2 linked regions of the Cricetulus griseus genome follow. The protein of the gene in region 1 interacts with the protein of each later gene in a pairwise test. Links are inferred from orthologs where the notes say so. Each region holds a gene or a part of one and is shown on either strand. Other genes may lie near its edges.

The links.
Region 2: the proteins of E3 ubiquitin-protein ligase TRIM69 (region 1) and Fam110a interact in binary tests that used the Homo sapiens proteins (3 or more experiments, as listed by UniProt). The two-hybrid records come from large-scale screens. The link is inferred for Cricetulus griseus from reciprocal best matches to the Homo sapiens genes TRIM69 and FAM110A.

Annotation. Positions count from the first base shown.
Region 1 is NC_048599.1:56,257,201-56,261,620, reverse strand, and holds the start of E3 ubiquitin-protein ligase TRIM69, read left to right. Parts: upstream 1-1,580; 5' UTR 1,581-1,941; coding exon 1,942-2,157; intron 2,158-2,992; coding exon 2,993-3,015; intron 3,016-3,099; coding exon 3,100-3,224; intron 3,225-4,420.
Region 2 is NC_048599.1:28,044,375-28,048,188, forward strand, and holds part of Fam110a (protein FAM110A), read left to right. Parts: intron 1-3,273; 5' UTR 3,274-3,349; coding exon 3,350-3,814.

The sequences.
Region 1 (4,420 bases):
AATAACTTACATGAATTGAGTGAAGGGAATACGAAACAAACAGCCTGGAGAAGAGTGTTGTAGAGATAGGGAAAGATACAAGGAAAAGTTCAGAAGCAGGAAGTTAAACAGAAAAATGTCCGATAAAGTTAGAGCATGCTAAGCAAGGTATACCAAAGAGGCAGTTATGGCCCAGCCAGGCATGTCTTTGTATGAAAGACATTAAATATTTTTGAATACTTGAATTCTTGGATACTTGATCTTGTCACATGAGAAATAAAGAGTTGTAATCAAGACACAGTTTTATCTCATTTTGAAAATGTCTTATTACTGTGTGAAAAAAAGGTTAAAGAGACAAAAACAAGATGATATGGTTAGAAAACTATTGCAGGTTAGTATGCCAAGAACAATGGCACTTAACTGTACTAAAGAGCAGCGTATGCAGAGATAACAAGGGCAAATGGTATAGGGAGGAAACTATATAGATGTAGTGATTTATTAGATAAGAGGAGTGATTTGTAGTATCAGGTTTGGGTTGAGGAGTCTGGAGCCCAAAAGCTGGAGAAAAGCTATCAGCATTTAGATGGAATTTAAAGCTGCAGGGGGCCAGGGAGATACTGCCTAGAAAGTATAGAATGAGCTTAGGACAGAATACTAACTAATTTTAATATTTAAAATAAATGTGGTTAGAGGTAGTGGAAGCAATTATACTGGGAAATCCTGAGAAAGGTGAAAGGGAAACTGGAAACACATTGGTTAGAAGAACAGTTAAGACTATGTTAAGAGCATGATAATGATTATCCATGGAATCTAAGTTACATAAGACAGGCCATGAAGGTAGAAGTTGATTAATAGAAACAGAGGGGGTCAATGATTACAAACTCACTTTGTTGTTTTCTTGAGACAGGGTCTCTCCATGTAGCGCCACTGTCCTGGAACTCACTATGTAGACCAGGCTAGCTTCAAACTCATAGAGGTCTGCCTGCTTTTGCCCCCTGCCCCCTCCACCAAGAGCTGGGATTAGAGCCATGCACCACCACGCCCAGGTTGAATACAAACTTTCATTGAGATTCAACAGTGCTACAGTAAGGAGCAAGTGAACTTGGAGCAAAACAGTTATTTTGAAGATGATACATTCTCTGGGAATGATATAATTCTATGTGTGATTGGGAATAATTGGAGAAAGCTGTAAGCCATTATAAATGAAGACAATAAGGAACTGATAAGCCAGGATATATAGAGTTCACCAGGGAGGAAACTGTAGACACACACACACACACACACACACACACACACACACACCTCACATGTACAAGCTGCAAGTATCACAATTATCAATTTAGCACTTTACACATTGTTCATATCCTGTTTCTTTTATGTTGTACTGGCAGCAAGAGCAGCTCTGGTTTTGAAAGTACAGTTCCTCCAGGCTCCTTATGGCCCTAGTTTAACAACATCACTTGGTAGATGCTGTTTTGCCAATCTAGGAAGGTTATTGTTAGTATTAATTTTAGAATGTTTAGTCAGGTGCCTTTAATCCCAGCATTCCAGAGGCACAGGCAGGCAGATCTCTGAGTTCAAGGCCTGCCTGATATACAGAGTGAGTTTCAGGACAGCTAAGGCTACACAAAGAAACCCTGTCTCAAAAAAATAAAAACCAAATAATAATAATAAAATTGTTTTAGAATGTTGGATCGACTCTGAAACATTATTTAATAGAGCACTGTTTATTATCCAAGCACTGAGAAAAAACTGAAAACAAAACCTTTCCTTTTACACCATTAAACTAGCCAGGAAAGAAGGAATAAGCTCTGTTTAGTAGGATTGAATGTTGATGCTAAGCAGCCATTTGTTTGGAAATTTCCAAGGTGTGTTGTGGGATGCGAGCCCCTGTTTCTAAGTGCTAGTCTCAGTAGTAATTGTGGTGATGATTATGGAGGTTTCCAGGACAACAAGATACAAATGCAACAATACCTTTCCTTGGAGTTTCTAAAGCTGCATCAGTTCCTGCACAACAAAGAAAAGGACATTCTAAATGAACTCCGGGATGAGGGGAAAGTCTTGAATGAGGAGATGGAGCTGAATCTGAATCAGCTTCAGGAACAGTGTCTTCTTGCCAAAGACATGCTGATGAACATTCAGGCACGGATGGAACAGAATTCCTTCAACTTCCTCAAAGTGAGATTCCACACCGATTTGATTATGGGTACACGTGAAGGAGGGAAGAGGGCCTGGACTTGTAGAGGGAAAGGAAGCAAACCCTAACCAAGTTCAACCCCACCCAATCCACCCCACCCCACCCCACCCCACCCCACCACAACCCAACCCACTGCAGTGCTTTAAGATCCTCTGTGAGAAGCTGCTTTTGTTCTATGTTCAGTAGAAAACTGTGTTTCATCTTCCTATGAAACACGATTAGTACAATTTCATCAATAATGTTATATGAATCAATATTTTTATTTTCCCATAAAGAACCTTGTAGCTGGAGTTACAGTTAGTTTTCAAAAAGTATGTATCTGATAGCCGTTGTTGAGTTTGGGGCTTACAGAAATCATAAAGAGAACTATTTAAAAATCTTTCTGTCAAACTTTGCTACCTGAAGTCTCACCTCTAAAACAACACTGGTGATCACTTTAGTACTCACAAGTTTGGTCACCCTTGGCACTGGAACTGCTTCTAATCTTTTCTTGTGGGAGTATTTAGAAGTGCTCACTTAAAAAAGAAAAGTTGACCTTGACTATCGATTTACTGGCTCCTCTCCTATATCTTAAAGAGCTGGAATCATAGAAATCAGTAGGTTAGCAAATGAGAGGACAGCTATCATGGGTTAGATTGGGTGCTCATTAGAGAAAGCCTGTGGAGGATGAAAATTGTTGTTGGAGATGGACTGAGGATCACATGCACAGAAAGCCAGGATTGATGAGTAAACCTGGATGGTGATCAGAATAACCAGACAGATCTCTAGAGATGATAAACAGACACCTGACAGCTCTATTTCTCCTTTTCTCTTTAGGACATCACAACGCTCTTAGATAGGTAAGTGCTTTTCCATGGTACTCTATCCCCTTCCTTCTGCCCCTGGAGGATGTCTAAAAAATAAACTATTTGTGTCCCTTACAGCATGGAGAAAGGAATGAGGGCACTCTCACCCAGACAGCTTATCTCCAAAAAGCTGAGCCCAGGCCGCTTCAAAGGTCCCATCCAGTATATGATCTGGAAGGAAATGCAGTCCATTCTCTGTCCAGGTATAGTGGGAAGTAGCTACTCATTCCTATGGCCCCTAATCTACATTTCATCTGTGGGGCCTCTGCTGTGTCCCGTTAGTTCTTTAGCTTAAGACTGGATGAAAATGGACTTGGGTGGAGTTTTAAGATTTATTTCTGTATTTTATGTACATGAGTGCTCTGTCTGCATGTACTCCTGCATGGCAGAGAGGGCATCAAATCTCATTGTAGATGGTTGTGAGCTACCACGTGGTTGCTGGGAATTGAACTCAGGACATCTGGAAGAGCAGCCAGTGTTCTTAACTGCTGAGCCATCTCTCTAGCCCTTTGGTGGAGTTAGTCAAAAAGACTTTTTCTTTTTCTCCAGCTGCTATGATCTAAGAATATGTGTCTTTGAACTAACAATGCATGATAATCTAGTATTAGAATCACTCTTCAGCCCATGCTTTTGTTTGCTCTAGCATGTGTAGAAATGGCCACAATATTATCCTGTTTTGCTGCATCAGTTGTATGATTCTCTGGAGTGTCTCTGCTCTGAAGGCATTTTCCATACATACTCCTTGTATATATTTAGTCTTTATAGGTCTTTTAGTGCTTGACAGTCATAGCATAGAGCACAATATCCTGAGAGTGTTAGAGATCAACAGTGCTTCGACAAAGACCAATTCTTCAGAAGAAAAGCTTATCTAATTTCAGTCGATAGTCTAATAAGCATGTTTTTGTGTTCTTATAAATATCAAAGGACTGAACAGGACAAAATAACACAAGTGGTATTTAAAGAAAAAGAAATAATATTCTAGATAAGATGTGTATAGAAATAAAAGTTTAGATAGCTTTCTCAAAATTCCTATAGATGTTATTATTGTTTGTTATTGATTTTAACTAGGTTTAGTTAAAATCATAAATATATCCCAGTCACATTTTCAGGTGACTAACACTGAAAGAAAACAACTTCAATGAAGTATAATTATATATACCCAGTGTATAAACAGATTAGTTTTAATAAACAGGTAAATATCTCTGTGAGCAAGATACAGATAGATGGGGGCCAGGGAGATGGTTTAGTGGATAAAGTGCTTGCTGAACAAACACAAGGACCTGAGTTTGAATCCCTTGCACCTATGTAAAAAGTGAGGCATGGTGGCACACAACTGTAACCCGGCACTGGGGATGGAGTTGGGGAAAAATGTAGACCTTAGGAGGCTTGCTGGGCAGCC
Region 2 (3,814 bases), about 28 Mb from region 1:
ACATCCACTAGCATCCCGCGCAATGCGACCTGACGTGCTGCCGGCTGTGCAGGCTCCAGCTCGGATAAAAACCAGGTCGGGCGAGACTAGGGCCGCGGCTCCGGCCAAGCTGCCGCACCCGGCTGTCAGTCAACCATTGCGGCCACTGCCTGGCCCTCCTTCCCTCTCCTGGAACACTCGGGGCCGGCGGGTTCACCTGCCAAGCCCCGGAAGTTGCGGAAGTTGCGCAAACACCGCAAACACCGGCTACTTGAGCCTGGTGGGCGGGAGGCGCACAGGCTGCAGGCAGGAGGCGGCTTGGGTAGCCAGGTATGTTGCGGTGCTGGGGAGGGGGGAGCGCAGCAGGGACTGTGGATTCAGTCCCCGTATTCGAAACAGACGTGGGCCAACTTCTGCTCAGAGAGGGACAGCAGATCATGGGGGTCACACAGCCTTTGCTCACCTCAAGGCTTGCCCCTAGAGTCTCTAGGATTTCTTCCAAGTGAGGAAGAACCGAAACCAAACTGGGGCCTTCCTGGTGGCCTGATCCGTTCTTTGGGAACCTGAAGGGAGGGACAAAGTCGGGTTCTGGAACTGTGACCAGAAAGGCTCAAGGTTTATGCATTTAGGGCCGTTTGCGGCAGCATTTGAAAACCCATGGTGAGAAGAGTCCCCAGAGGAGACGTTAAATCTCACTTGGCGACCCGGACCCAGGCTGCCTCTCTGAGAGGCCCCTGTGACGTGAGTTGGTGCGGGTCTGCTGGCTCATTGTGATCAGCCCCTGCCAGATGTCTCCTTTGTGTCTGCTGGGGCCTAGATCCGCCCTTCTGGATCGTGCTTAGAAGACTCTCGGAGGGGGCGGGTCTGCACACTCCACAGTCAGAGCCTCAGTATATGTCAGCCAACCTGGTTTATTTATGGAGCGCTGGCCATTTCCAGGTGCTACGAACCCGTTTGATCTTTCCAGCGGTGACCCGAAGGCACAGGGAAGTCTATTTTTAACTCCGGTGAACAGATAAGGGAACAACAGTCTGTTAAGAGCTGCCTCTTGTGCAAGGTGCAAGGCAGGGGCTGGTGGGAAAGTGGGCACCCAGGTGGTTACCAGGCCAAGTTTGGCAACAGGCACCTGTCCCCGCCCCCATCTTTACCTAGAGTTAGGTGGTGGGTATAGAAGCAAGGTGGTGGTGGCGGGGAGCTTCTGCCCTGGCCCTGCCCCTCTGACCTCCTTCCTTTTTCCCAGGTGATGTTTGGGAGGGACTGCCTCAACCACTACCAACGGGTTGGACTGGTTTGGGTGGCAGAGCAGACGTGGGGGGTTAGGGAGGTGGGGCAGAGTCTGGCAGGGCTCCGGAGCAGCTCTGCTGGCCAGACCTTTCCTGCCCAAGGTTACCTGGGGGGTCTACTTGAGTGGAGCCAGCCTTCCTTTCCTTCCTACTAGCCCCTTGAGACTTGAGAGCAGCCCTATCCCCAGCCCCCACACCACTACTGTACTGAGGTTTCCATGGGTGCTGGGGAAAGCAGGTATGTCTGCAGATATGCTATGCTTGCCTGGTACAGGTAGTCTTTTAAAAATGGGGATGGAATTTGCTCACAGTTACAGACCTAGAGAGCCCCTGCCCCTCTGGATCGCCAGCCCTGGGAACATTACACCCCTTACCTTGGACCCACCTGTCTGTAGTGGGTGAGGCTTCTCTAGCCCACTGTGGTGCTGGTTCTCAGCTGATCCCCCCCACCCAGGCCTTTCAGTTCAGGACACACTTGTGGACTATTTAGCATGTATTGAGAGCCACACCATGAAGCTGAGACCCAGTGAACAAAGCAGCCGAAACTTCTGCCCTCATGGAGCTGATACTTTAGGGAGTGGGGGACAACAAAGAGAGAACCATATCCACAGTAAGTTCTATGGGACCCATGGCTATAGTGAGAGAAGAAGCAGGTGTGTGTGTGTGTGTGTGTGTGTGTGTGTGTGTGTGGTGTGTGCGCGCGCGTGTGCCCATAGTGTGTGGAAAAGCTGTATGATGGGACTACCATTTTAATCTCCTCTGGGATCTAGGGAAGTCACTTCTCAGAGTCTCAGTTTTCCCTGCTACAAAATGGTGACAGTGGCTTCCAGGCTGTTGGAGATGATACGAGAGAGTGCGGCTTTGAGTGTCTGGCACACAATGGGGATCCCTGTTATGGGATGTCTGTATGTCTCGGTGATGCTTTTACTGTGTTTAGGCATGCTCTCGGTTTCAGTGCTGTCTAGCATAGTAGCCTCCATGCACCCATGGAGAACTTGAAGCATGGTTGGTATGATTCAGGAGCTAGTGGTGCTGGGTGACCTGAACTGCCAAGTGTCTGTAGCCCCCAGGCTAAGCCCCTCCCCCCTCTTTACAGATGAGAAAGTTTAACTTGGGTTTTACATTGCTACGTTTCTGAGGGGCTTGGGTGGTGGGGGAGAACTGTGGCACTTTCTAACCATGTTTTCTCGATGCCTGGGATGATCTTCTGTTGGACAAGTATGGGACTACATGAGCACCCAGGCATGAGCCTTACAGCCCATGCTCACCTTCATGGTAGTTGGTCAGCAGCATAGCTCTGGGTGGTGCTGTGACCTGGACAGTTCTTTGCACAGCATAGCTTGGGGCTGATGCTTACTCCTCTCTGCGTGCCTTGATCTCTGTGGGCTTGGCCTTGGAGCCATATCCTGGAAGCTACTTGGGCTCCACTAGGGTGGGGGTGTGGACTATCTTTCTGCTCCTCCCCTGCAGCCTCTGCTTTTGTGCCCTTTGTGGGCCTGGCATGTCCAGGCAGGAGTCTGGCACTGCGAGGCTTCCTGCCTGGGCTGGTTGTGGGATGTTGGTGGTATCTGGCTCCTCTGGGCAATTCAGGTGGGATGTGGATGGCGGTCATTCAACCCCAACTGCCTGGTCACTAGTACCTCCTATCTGGGGAGCAAGGGAAGGCTTAAGCAAGTTCATTGCCTCCCCGAGCTTCAGTTTCCCTATCCGTAAATGGGGCTGTTGAGAGGACCCTGGAGCTGAGCCTGGAGCCTTGAGCCTCCTTTGCTCTTTTTAAAACGGACCTGCCTTCTCAACCTCTTTCCTCCCTCCCTCAGCTGTGCGGGTCCCCGCCCACTATTGGAGGGAAAGGGTGTAGGTGGGGCCACAGGACTTCCAGTAGTACATTCTGCCTGATGATTGGCTCTTCGCGAGGCAGAGGCGTGCCCTCTACCTTATAATAGCTCAGGCTTCGCAGTCAGGCGAGCCTTTGTCTGAACGTGCTCAGCCTGTCTTCTTTCCTTGCTTGCAGCGGAGCCCGGCATCCAGCTGCCAACTTTGTGCCTGTATCTGTCTCCTCGCCTCGGCCCTCGGGGCATGTAACTGCCATGCCCGTGGACACGCTGAGCCCTGCAGCCCCTGCAGCTCCCACCCTACCTTTTCGCCTGCGAACCAAGGTCCCAAGCTACCTGCTACCAAGGCCAGCAGTTGCGGGAGCCCGGAAGCCGAGTGCTGTGGAACGCCTGGAGGCTGACAAGGCCAAGTACGTCAAAAGCCTTCATGTGGCCAACACCCGCCAGGAGCCTGTGCAGCCCCCGCTAGCCCGACAGCCCTTCTTCAGCGCTGCTCGTGGGCCAGTGCTCACACCCAGCCGCCGAGCCCTGCCCTGTCCTGGACGCAGGCCCCAGCTGGACGTTGACATCCTTACCAGTCTCATCAACCTGTGTGATAGTCCCGTGTCCCCAGCTGAGGCCAGCCGAACGCCTGGACGGGCAGAAGGATCTGCCCACAAGGTCCCACCAGCCACCCCTCCTCGTCCACCGCCTAGTACAGTCGCCGTGCGCCGAGTGGAT